Linked DNA regions of Alligator mississippiensis. The main gene of each other region encodes a partner of the protein of the gene in region 3 in a complex. Links are inferred from orthologs where the notes say so. Each region holds a gene or a part of one and is shown on either strand. Other genes may lie near its edges.

The links.
Region 1: the proteins of TOMM5 (region 3) and PINK1 are in contact, whole or in part, in a cryo-EM structure (PDB 9EII), measured with the Homo sapiens proteins. The link is inferred for Alligator mississippiensis from reciprocal best matches to the Homo sapiens genes TOMM5 and PINK1. Residues at the interface, in NP_001001790.1 of Homo sapiens: Met1, Phe2, Arg3, Ile4, Gly6, Leu7, Ala8, Lys10, Leu11, Asp12, Pro13, Glu14, Met16, Lys17, Arg18; in NP_115785.1 of Homo sapiens: Gln484, Ala488, Gln491, Ser495, Lys496, Pro498, Val502, Lys520, Leu522, Lys523, Leu524, Met527, Glu565, Cys568, Gln569, Ala571, Leu572, Leu573, Cys575, Ser576, Trp577, Ala579, Ala580.
Region 2: the proteins of TOMM5 (region 3) and VDAC2 are in contact, whole or in part, in a cryo-EM structure (PDB 9EII), measured with the Homo sapiens proteins. The link is inferred for Alligator mississippiensis from reciprocal best matches to the Homo sapiens genes TOMM5 and VDAC2. Residues at the interface, in NP_001001790.1 of Homo sapiens: Ile25, Arg29, Leu32, Ile33, Ala36, Arg39, Val40, Phe43, Ile44, Lys47; in NP_001171752.1 of Homo sapiens: Val38, Thr60, Gly63, Asp239, Tyr258, Gln260, Thr261, Leu262, Leu268, Leu270, Val286, Leu288.

Annotation. Positions count from the first base shown.
Region 1 is NC_081836.1:5,554,845-5,558,598, reverse strand, and holds the start of PINK1 (serine/threonine-protein kinase PINK1, mitochondrial), read right to left. Parts: upstream 2,696-3,754; 5' UTR 2,682-2,695; coding exon 2,415-2,681; intron 466-2,414; coding exon 190-465; intron 1-189. UniProt on the Homo sapiens protein: Serine/threonine-protein kinase which acts as a sensor of mitochondrial damage and protects against mitochondrial dysfunction during cellular stress.
Region 2 is NC_081829.1:27,930,466-27,934,219, reverse strand, and holds the start of VDAC2 (voltage-dependent anion-selective channel protein 2), read right to left. Parts: upstream 2,680-3,754; 5' UTR 2,677-2,679; coding exon 2,583-2,676; intron 187-2,582; exon of another isoform or gene 87-186; intron 1-86. UniProt on the Homo sapiens protein: Non-selective voltage-gated ion channel that mediates the transport of anions and cations through the mitochondrion outer membrane and plasma membrane.
Region 3 is NC_081826.1:147,975,118-147,978,044, forward strand, and holds TOMM5 (mitochondrial import receptor subunit TOM5 homolog), read right to left. Parts: upstream 2,058-2,927; 5' UTR 1,944-2,057; coding exon 1,790-1,943; intron 1,221-1,789; coding exon 1,186-1,220; 3' UTR 604-1,185; downstream 1-603.

The DNA.
Region 1 (3,754 bases), on a different chromosome or scaffold from region 3:
TTTTTAGGAGTGCTAATCACCATGCTTTGTGACAGTTCTTCAACAGTCTCCTCCAATGATAGACCGACAGCTTTGTTTTGACGCATTAAGCATGTGCATAATAATTAAGAGCTTTCAACACATCGGTGGTTAACATTTCACCCAAACTTCACAAGTGACACACTAGAAGAATAAAACCTACTTCCTTACCGAAATGTTCCACATCATTTTGATTGCTAATGGGAAAGAGGTATTTTGCTGGGTCGCTTGTGTAGGGTTTTCTTCGGCAGCCTCAACAGCCGAGCCATGGGCCCGCCGTGGATCCGGGCCCCAGCCGGAAGTTAAAGGAATCGCTGCTTCATAGACAGCTGCGCTGCATCCTTTCCCAATGGGCTGGCCAATGCGGTACTCTTCCAGTTTGAAGCCCTGCCAGCGGAAACAGCTCAGTGGATCTTTCAGCGGCTTGTTCTTCCTGACAAATATTGTCTGCAAAGAATGCAAGAATTACTCAATAATTCAAAAAGCAGAGCTATTTTGCTACGGAAGTTACAGGGTGTGCTCAAGAGTGTTCATGCCAGGACCCATACTAAAAGGTCAACACAGTTGTCAAATGAAAACCTTTACATATTCCAGCACTTTAAACTAGAGCCTACTGGAGCACAGAAAACCCAATCCACAAATATCAACTCAATCAATTTGGACATTTCAAATTAGCATTCAGGAATAAAGCAAGCATTTAATGATTGGTGGTACTCTTTGCTTCTCTAGCATCCTTTCTTTATTAATGTTAACCCTCCGAGATCTTTATGTCAACCCTCCCACTAACCTGGTGGGGTTATTATCCAGTTTAAATGTGGTCACAGCCAGGTCTCGAGAATTGCTTGTTGGTAGAAGGGACCAGAGGTGTAGGGGCTTTCTGCAACACCTCTAGGACTACAAAAGTCCTATGGCAAATGCAATTATGTTGGCATGAAAGTGCTGGTTGTAGCCAAACACTTTTTTTTTTTAACCAGCGTAAGTTATGTCTAACACTGGGGAAATTTTACTAACTATTGGGGCAAATCTTTTACTAACTTATATGGGGGTTTGCCCAAAATTTCACACCCAGTCCATTGCAGAGATAGAAAACAAGCTGAATAAGGGCTTACGACCACATTGCAAATATGGAATACAGACTTTCTATTGAAGTACACACACAGCTCACTACGCCAAGTTATATCGAAAATACGTTCAAGCTAACTGACACTCCATCACCCACCAAGTCTTTTATCGCAGACAAGTCTCAATTTGTAGCGTAGACAAATACACGTTTGAACACAAGAGGGGGAAAAACACTTGGTTCATCTACACGATAACTTCTGCAGAGAAAGGTGGCGAGATCCCCATAAAAGAGGATTTAACGTTGTGCTTACCTCCCTCTCTGCACAACTCCATAAAGTAATGTTTAAAAGAAAACCTGATTAAGAGGAAAGGCAGATGGACTAAAGAGGCCTGGAGCTTTATAGCAGCTGAAACTGCCAGCTGGTTAGTTAGAGGAGGGAATCAGCGAGGGGAAAATGAGCAGGGATGGATCTAGAGAAACATGGAAAGAAGAGGAGGTGGAGGGTGCACAGAATCAGAAATGAAGACGATGCTAAAGAAGGAAGCGTGCCTAAAAAAGGCAAGGGAATAAAGGTCCCAATCCTGCAATCAGAGGTGTGCAGTTGGATGTGATCACAGTCTGGGCCCCGCCAGGCTCACAGTCACACTAGTGATCTCAGAGTCACGGCTGACTCCAAAACGAACAGGAGTCGTCAACGCGATGAAGCCATCACGAGCAGGTGCAGGGAGGTGACACTTCCCCTCTGTGCAGCGCTGGGCAGACCACAGCGGGAGCACGGCGTCCAGGTCTGGGCGCCACACGGCACCGCACCGCACACGGGATGCAGATAACCTGGAGACGGCCCAGAGGACCGCTCGCATGGTTATGGGCCTGCAGGTTAGATCCTACGGGGAGAGACTGAAGGACTTGCATCTCTGCAGCCTCTGCAAAAGCAAGCTGAGAGGGGATCTTGCAGCTGTCTACAAATTCACAGGGCAGCAAGGAAGAGGAGACGCCCCTTGCAGCTGCTAGGAACAACGGCCACAAACTGGCGGGGAGCACTTTTGGATGGACATTAGGAAAACATTCAGCGAGTGTTGCCAAAATGAGCTTCCCAGGGAGGTGGTGCACTCTCCCACCCCGGGGGCCTTCAAGAGACTGGACAAGCACCAAGCCCAGGGCAGGGGCTCGGACTCCATGACCTGCCAAGCTCCCTTCTGACCCTAATAAATAAAGAAATAACATCGGTGAAATCTAGTTTAACTAAAGCGATGAAGTAAACGCGAAGGCAGGAGGAGCGGGCGGGGCGGGGCAGGGGGGAGCAGAGGGGACAGGAGCCCGGCCCGGCCCGCACCTGGATGCGGCTGCAGGCGCCCGCGGCCCGGCGCTGCTCGTCCAGCCCCTGCTGCAGCAAGGCCAGGCCCAGCGCCAGCCCCGGCCCGCGGCCCAGCCCCAGCCCCAGCCCAGGCCTCGGCCCCGGCGCCAGGCCCCGGCGCGGCGGGGCGGGCGGCAGGCGGCGGGCGGGCGGCGGCGCGAGGAGCACGTGCCGCCGCGGGCCCCAGCGCTGCACCAGCGACCGCCACAGCGCCGCGCCCCGCCACAGCGCCCGCCGCACCGACATCGCCGCTCGCCTGCCCCCGGCCCGGCCTCGCCCCGCCCCGCCCCCCGCTGTGACGTGTGCGGGGCGGGGCGGGGCGGGGCCCGACGGGCTGGGCGTGGAGCGAGGTGGGAGGCGTGTCAGCACGTGTGTGTACACGTGTGCGTGTGTCTGTTATTTTTATATCTATCAGAGAGAGAGATATAGAGATATACATAATATATATATAAAATTATATAAAATATATATAAACAGATATGTTCTATATATATATATATATATATATATAGTAAATACTATAGTACTACTATTTATAGTAGTACTATAAATATATAGTATATACTACATATATAGAATTATATATATAATGTATATATATTTATATATATAATGTATATATTTATATATGTATATATATTTTATATATAATTATATATTATATATGTATATATATATATATAATTTATATATTTATATATATACTATCTATATTATATATAATTATATATATCATGTATATATAATATATATATTTATATATACACTCTAAATTTTATATAACATATAACACACATTTTATATATCTAAAGCATATTATATATATTATATATCTGTGTGTGTGTGTGTGTGTGTGTGTGTGTGTGTGCAGCCCCAGCCAGGCAGTGTCAACTCGGTTTCCTTGTGTGCTTGTCGTGCACATCAGGTGTGCGCAGCTCTGTGTAGCTGTGCGGGCTGTGCAGGCTGTGCCTGTGTTACTCTGCATTGAATGCTGCTCTGTGTTACTACAGTGTGCACTGTGTGTTGCGCTGTGTCACTGTGCGCGCCGTGCACTGTCCTGTGTGTTGCGTTGTGTGGCTGTGTGCACCGTGCACTGTCCTCTGTGTTGCGCTGTGTCACTGTGCTCACCATGCACTTCCCTGTGTGTTGCGCTGTGTGGCTGTGCGCACCGTGCACTGTCCTCTGTGTTGCGCTGTGTCACTGTGCTCACCGTGCACTGTCCTGTGTGTTGCGCTGTGTGGCTGTGCGCACTGTACACTGTCCTGTGTGTTGCGCTGTGTGGCTGTGCGCACCATGCACTGCCCCATGTGTTGCGCTGT
Region 2 (3,754 bases), on a different chromosome or scaffold from region 3:
CGGGGAAGGGCAGAAGGGGGTGAAACAAAATAAACCCAGGACTTCTTGGTTTTGCTTTAAAATCTGGTCATTGCATTTATTTTTAGGCATACACAGAGAAGTCAGGCTGCACCTAGGAGCAACAGGAAGGAGCTGTAGGGAGCTAAACCAGAGATCACTAATAAACATGTAGTTTAAGGATTACAAGCTTGCCTCTGGCCTGTCTTACTGCCACCCTCCTTCTCACCATCCCTACTGCACAGTTCTCCCTCGCCTCCAGCACCAAAAGCCTTCTGTGTTAACTGTGTTAACCCTTACACCTCGCTAGCACCACGCTCTGGATGCCCTCCTACGCTGTCCTGATTTCCCACCATGAAAAGTGGGTGCCCTGATACTGCTAGTGCACTTACACATCATGTAAGGCAGATGTCCTCAGTCTTTTCTGGAATGTGTATATATTCTGGCTAGGATTCTTCGCTTACAAGTTTTAGTCCTAAATTACCATAAACTGTTAAAGAAAATCAGGATGCTGACAAAACAAAAAACTTTTTGCAGCGATTCTCTGATGGCTGAGGAGATCCCTTGTGGAAAATAGCTAGACGGAGTATCACACGACTGTTCTGCAGCAGTCAGTGTAGTGCAACGTGCCTTATGACACTCCTTACAGCTGAAATCATTGAGTCACTAGTGCAATAGTGGGCCAAAGAGCAGTTTGGCAGTAGGGTATGAAGTATTCAGCACCCATAAAGTGGCATGCAAAGACATGCCTCAATGCAGTTTCCCCTTCCAACAGAAATGCTTTCACCCCCCAAGCCCCCACAGATTAGTACATTTAGACACAGAAGATAAGTATTGTATAGCAGAAGTTAGGCGAATTCCTCATGAGAGAACATACAAAAAGAGGGAACGGAAATTGGGATGAAAAGGGAATGAGAAAAATCAGTATGCTTTAGTACTGGTTGGACTATACATTAGAAATAGGGGTCTTATTAAAGTAAAATACTGATTGTTGCCTATAACAGTCCATTGTTCAAAGCCATTATTCATTCAGAATATATTTATATAAAATGGACAATGTACCTTCCCGAATTCAGAACTTAAAACTTTAGTTATGTTTTGGCATCATTTTAAGGAATCTAAAAATACAAGTAATTACCGCCCCACCCTTATGGAACAATAATGAATCATCTGGCTTACTAGATGTTATATACACTGTATCTGAAGAAAGAACGCACACACTCCCTTGTATCAACATGCTAGCATAAAGAGATCAAAACCCTTCAACCACCCCTCATTGCCTAAATCTCCAAGAGAAGGGGATGGTCACTGGAGCTACAGTGGTGATATGCCATGAAAGGAAAAAGTACATAAGTAGGTAGCCCTCTCAGAGTTTGGCTAGTTCTGATACCATCATTCTGTAAATACTCACCAATGTGTATACGGTCTTACTTTTGCCTCAACTATCTTTACCATTCACACATTTCCTACAGCCTGTATTTCTTAGTCAGCACCACTTTACATACACACACTGCAAGTCTTTGTCAGGGTGCACAAGGCTGCTGTCAGTGAAACCTGCCTGGGTTTGGTGGAAAAAGTGATCACAGAAGCCACATTGTAAAGTTGATATGAAAATTTACTAGCTTAGTCATAAGGTCTGCATATCCATCATGCTAAGCATGTAAAACGAAGCTGGAGTTAAAGTTGAATACAAATATAATAAATTAACAATAAAGCACTAATTCAAACTTGCATTTATCAATAATCAAGACAATCCAAAGGCAAGAAAAAAACCCCACCCCAGACACCTAAAAAACCCCACAGAGCTGTGTGGTTAAGATGGATCGCAACAGATGATCTGTGTTAAGAGCTTGTCAACCACCTCAGCTGCATCAAGTTAGCTACAGATAAAAAAATTAAACCAATTTAGTTAAACTGGTGCAAGAGAATTTATTTAAACCAGACTTCTTCACTTTAATTTAACCCAATTGGGAACAGATTTAAGATAAACATTTAAAAAAAAAAAATAAGCGTCTATTCAGGTGTTTGTACCAGTTAATTTGAACTGGTGCCAATGCAGATGTTGCCAGCCCTTCACAATAACAGCAGCAGATTTTTAAAATGTTGTAGGTCATCAGAGTTTTGGGAGTAGGAAAGAGAAGGATTCAAGGAACAGAGTGGCTGCAGGAAGGCCTAGAGCTCTGAAATTCTGCATCCTGTCTGAACTGAGGGAAGTCTCTGTGCCATTAGTTTTATAGACATTAGGGCTGGAAGGGACCCCGTGAAATCATCGGGTCCAGCCCCCACCCAAAGGGCAGGAAGTCAGCTGGGGTCAGATCATCCCAGCAAGATAAGCATCCAAGTATTTCTTGAAGGTATCCAGAGTAGGTGCTTGCACCACTTCTAGGGGAAATCTATTAGTTCTGGAGAATCACTTTGGCTCTGTAGTAAGTACTAATACTGCTGCTTACTGTAAATTTTGCTTGCTTCTTTTGTATAAGTATGGGCATGATCCATTCTAATTGATCCTATTGTAGCAAAAAGAATGAGAAAATAAGAAACTTCAGAGAAGAAGCTAATAGCCAACTGGGGACACACATACTTACTTTTTCTCTTGTGTTGTTTTTTTTTTTTACTTAACGACCGATTCTTTTCCTTCTTCTTTTTCCTTTCTAGTGAGATCTCCATATCCCTTAACATTCTTCCCTATAGCTTAGAGAACAAGCATAGTAAGTACTGCTGTGCTGCAGCTCTATAAAACTCTAGGGATTCTAAGCTGTCTACATTGGTAAGACCTTGCCCCTTGTAGGAGGAGCTATTTTAAGGCCTTTTTGAAGAGGAAGGACACTCTGAGTCTTCTGCTTTTAAAGGGATCAAGATTTTCTGATAACAAAATATAAGAGCTTTCAAATAACTACATGTAAATATATAAATGCAAATAGAACTCTCTTGTCAAAACTGAGCCTGGTTCAGAGAAGCCCAGGTTCCCTAATTCACTGAAGCAGAATAATGGAATTTGCTATAAGAAATGTGTGCAATGGCTTGCACCTGTGAGACCAGTCAGCAAACAGAAGGAGTACTTCTCACTCCTGCTGTACTATTGGGAATTTCCCTCTCTTACTTCTGTTTGAACTGCATACATACTAGCCATGTTCAGTTCTTTATTAAAAAGTAATTAATTAAGCTTCATATTGCCTTCTTGAGATATTACCCCCATTTTTCAGACAAAAAAACTGAAGAGAAGAATTTCAGATCTCTAGGTTCTCAAGCCTGTGTTTTAACCATGCCTTTTGGTACTACTTTGTCTAATACAACTTTCTGTATATATGGATACTACACATCTGTTTTCAGTGCCTACACCCCGCCCCCTCTCCACATGGGGTAAGAACTGGGTATATGTTAGATATGCTAATGAATTTAGCTGGTTGCAACTACCATTAAGGCAAATATGCCATAAGATGTCTCCCAAATAATATAGGAGAAATAATAGAATATATGGCATGATTAACTGTTGGGACTTGATATTTGTAATGTACAGGCTATATGTTGAAGGCTCATATGAGTAGGAAGTAGCCATGCAGGACTTCTGAAACGATGAGTGTAAACCTTCCCTAAGCCTCCAGTTGCAGAGTTTTGTTTTCTGGCAAGACCACTGATTTTTTTCATAAGAGAGCAGAGCTCCCCTTACTTACTGTGTGTCTCTGTGGTCCTACGTCAGAAGGCACTACTACTTCAGTGAGACTTCTCCCTGCAGAAAATAGGGCTGAAAGGGACTTCC
Region 3 (2,927 bases):
CTAAGAGTAGGGATGTTGACTAGGATAGGCAGATGTCTCTGTTGGGACTAAAAAAACCTGGATTACTGATTAGAGGATCTTGCTTTTCAATTCAAGGTCAAACCAATCACTATATTTGGGGTCAGAAAAGCATTTTATCCCAGTCAAATAAGTATGGATTGTGGGGGAGTGTTGCCTTCCAGTGTAGCATGGGGCATGGTCCTCTTCCTGGGATTGTTCACGTGCGCCCCATAGTCGAGCAGGGGGGTTGCATAGATTTACAACTAAGTTAAACAAACACGTATATAAATTGATTTACAAACAGATTCCTCCCCTGAGCAGGGGCTATGAAGGGTCCCCCCTTCCAGGCATGCTTTTCTAGGATTCTTTGACATAGGCCAGGAGGTGAATTTGGCAGGTCACCTCCTTTCTCTCCATCTACCAACTACGAGTATAGTCTACTTACACTGTAAACTCTGGAGGGCATGAACTGTCCTACACGGAAGTACGATGAGTGCTCCTTGCCCTGCCAATTTCATTCTCTTATTTCTCTCAATCTGTTTGCAAGAGGAAAATATGTTTAAAGGAGACAATGGCCCAGAGTAAATACAAGATCCCAGGACATTTATGGAACTGATTTTATTAAAAATAGAGCACTACTGGACTGTGCCTGAAATAACAGAATTGTTCTTCCATTTTATTTCAACAACAAAAATCCATAGGGAACTGGATTCAAGTTAACAGCTTCTCCCCGGTGGTTTTACTAGTTTCAGGGTTCAAACCATTTTAATCTTCACATGGAGACAGGATCAGTAAGATTGACAGCCACAGCTGTGATATTTCAGAGGTAGCTCCAGAACAGTTTGCTTACATTTAACACTTTCTAAAAAAAATATGGAGTTCGATACAATTTTTAAACATACAGTATGAGTGGTACCAACATAATCTTTAAAAAAAAAAAAAAAGTTGTATGCAGACACACAGGAGCACTGTGTGACCTCGAGTCAGCTGCAGGGATAATAACCATTTTTCCATACTTCAAGCTAGGCTCCTGTTCTCAAAGTCAAATGTTTAACATAATCATTTTCCAGATCCATTCCACAGGTGAAGTCTGACCTTGGCACCACGCTTCTTAAAAGGGAAAAGCAGCCACTGTCCATTTTGTGTTTTCATGTACCCAGCCTCCTCTTTGCAGCTCTTCTGTATTCATATACTATCCAGCTTCTTTAAGATGTAAGGAGCTGAAAGAGACAGGACAGCCAAGATATAAACTAAGTGCAAATGAGCAGGTTTATAAACAGCTGCAAGCCCTGGGCTGTGTGCGCACTGCAACCAGAGCCCGTGGGGCAGGACTTATCTGAGCAGTGCTGCCAGGTGTACAATAATTATCATATCTGTATGATCATTCCAACCCTTGTACGATGTACGATCAGTAACTGTTCAACACGCACGATAATTTTGAGGCAGCTCATCGATGCAGCACATGTAAAACCCACGTCACTCTCAAGGAGTCTTAACTGACTTTTGGGTGTGCTGCCAACCCTTCCTTGTGAGCTCACCTCAAAATAAAGAAATGCTTCAACTTGCACGACCCCGATCTCACTTGCTCACTGGCCACATACAGTGACCGATATGGAATCAGTAGGAAGAGGCTTATTGGCAGGGTATTTTCAGCAAACACGATCATTTGGGGACTTCCAATACGATCGTTTCGTACTTAACACCTGGCTGAGCTACACAGGAGTTGCCCGGGCCAGGGGGGCAGCAGCCCCAGGCCGAGCCCCGCGCACGTGGCCGCGCCACCCCTTACCGACACGCAGCAGCGCCACGTAGATGAGGAAGTTGCGGACTGAGGTGAGCACATCGCGCCGCATCTTCCGCTTCAGCTCCTCCGGGTCCATCTTGGGCCCTAGCCCCTCGATGCGGAACATGCTGCTGGCGGCGGCGGAATCGTGCCGGGTCATACAACTCCGGCTCGGCAGAGCGGAGCTTCCTTCCGGGGCTGAGGCACGGCCCCGCCCACCGGCTACGGGCACGGAGAAGGGGCACGCCCCCGCCCTTCGCGCCCGACGCAGGGCTGGGGCGTGACGGGATCAGAACGCCGCCAACAGCGAGCATGCGCGTTAGTGTCGTGAGGCTGCTGCCCTCACCCAGAGTGGGGCGGGGTTGCGTGGTGACGATCCCGGGTGGTGGCAGGGGCAGCGTGCGCCCTGCCACTGCGCTTGCGGGGCCTCTGCAGGTGGGCTGTGGCCTGGGCTGCACGTGGGGCACTTTGCTGCGCAGGGAGGAGCGCCAGGCCCGCGCCCCAGCATTAGTACTAGCCCTGGGGAGGGGAGGGCCATTCTTGGTGCCCCAGAGCCCGTCCAGCCGCTCTGTAGTACAAAAGCCTTGCCCCTTTATTTGGCTGAACAGGATTGCAGGGGGTGCCTGCAGTAAGGCAGCCTGCGGCCTGGTTCATATCGTTTAGCTCCCGTCACCCTTGAGTTATGGCCACCTGATGTGCAAGAATTGGTGGGTTTAGGCAGATCCATGAAACGGGGCTGTGTAGACGCTCCTGGTCAAAGTCAGGCTCGTCTGGGGTTAGTTTAAGTCAAGGAGGAACTGGTGTGCTCTGCCCTGAAAGGCACGTAGGAGCTAAATGAGCATGTGCCCCTGGGCCTGTGCTGGCTTTAGGAGTTAAGAAGGTTACAAAGTGGTTTAAACTAGGTTTAGATTTACACTTTGACTCTTCGGGGGGGGTCTGCAAAAAAAAGTCTGGTTCATGGATTAAGAAGTATACCTAAGAGAAGGAGCAAACCAAACAGAGGCGCCCTACCCCCTTCCCCAGGTTATGGTTTTGAAATCTTAAAGGGGGTTCTCGGCTTGCCCCCCCCCCCTCTGCCGCTCCCTCTTAATTTGCACCCTGGTTTAAACATGCTCAGGAGCTTCCACCTGTCGTCAGGTTGGGC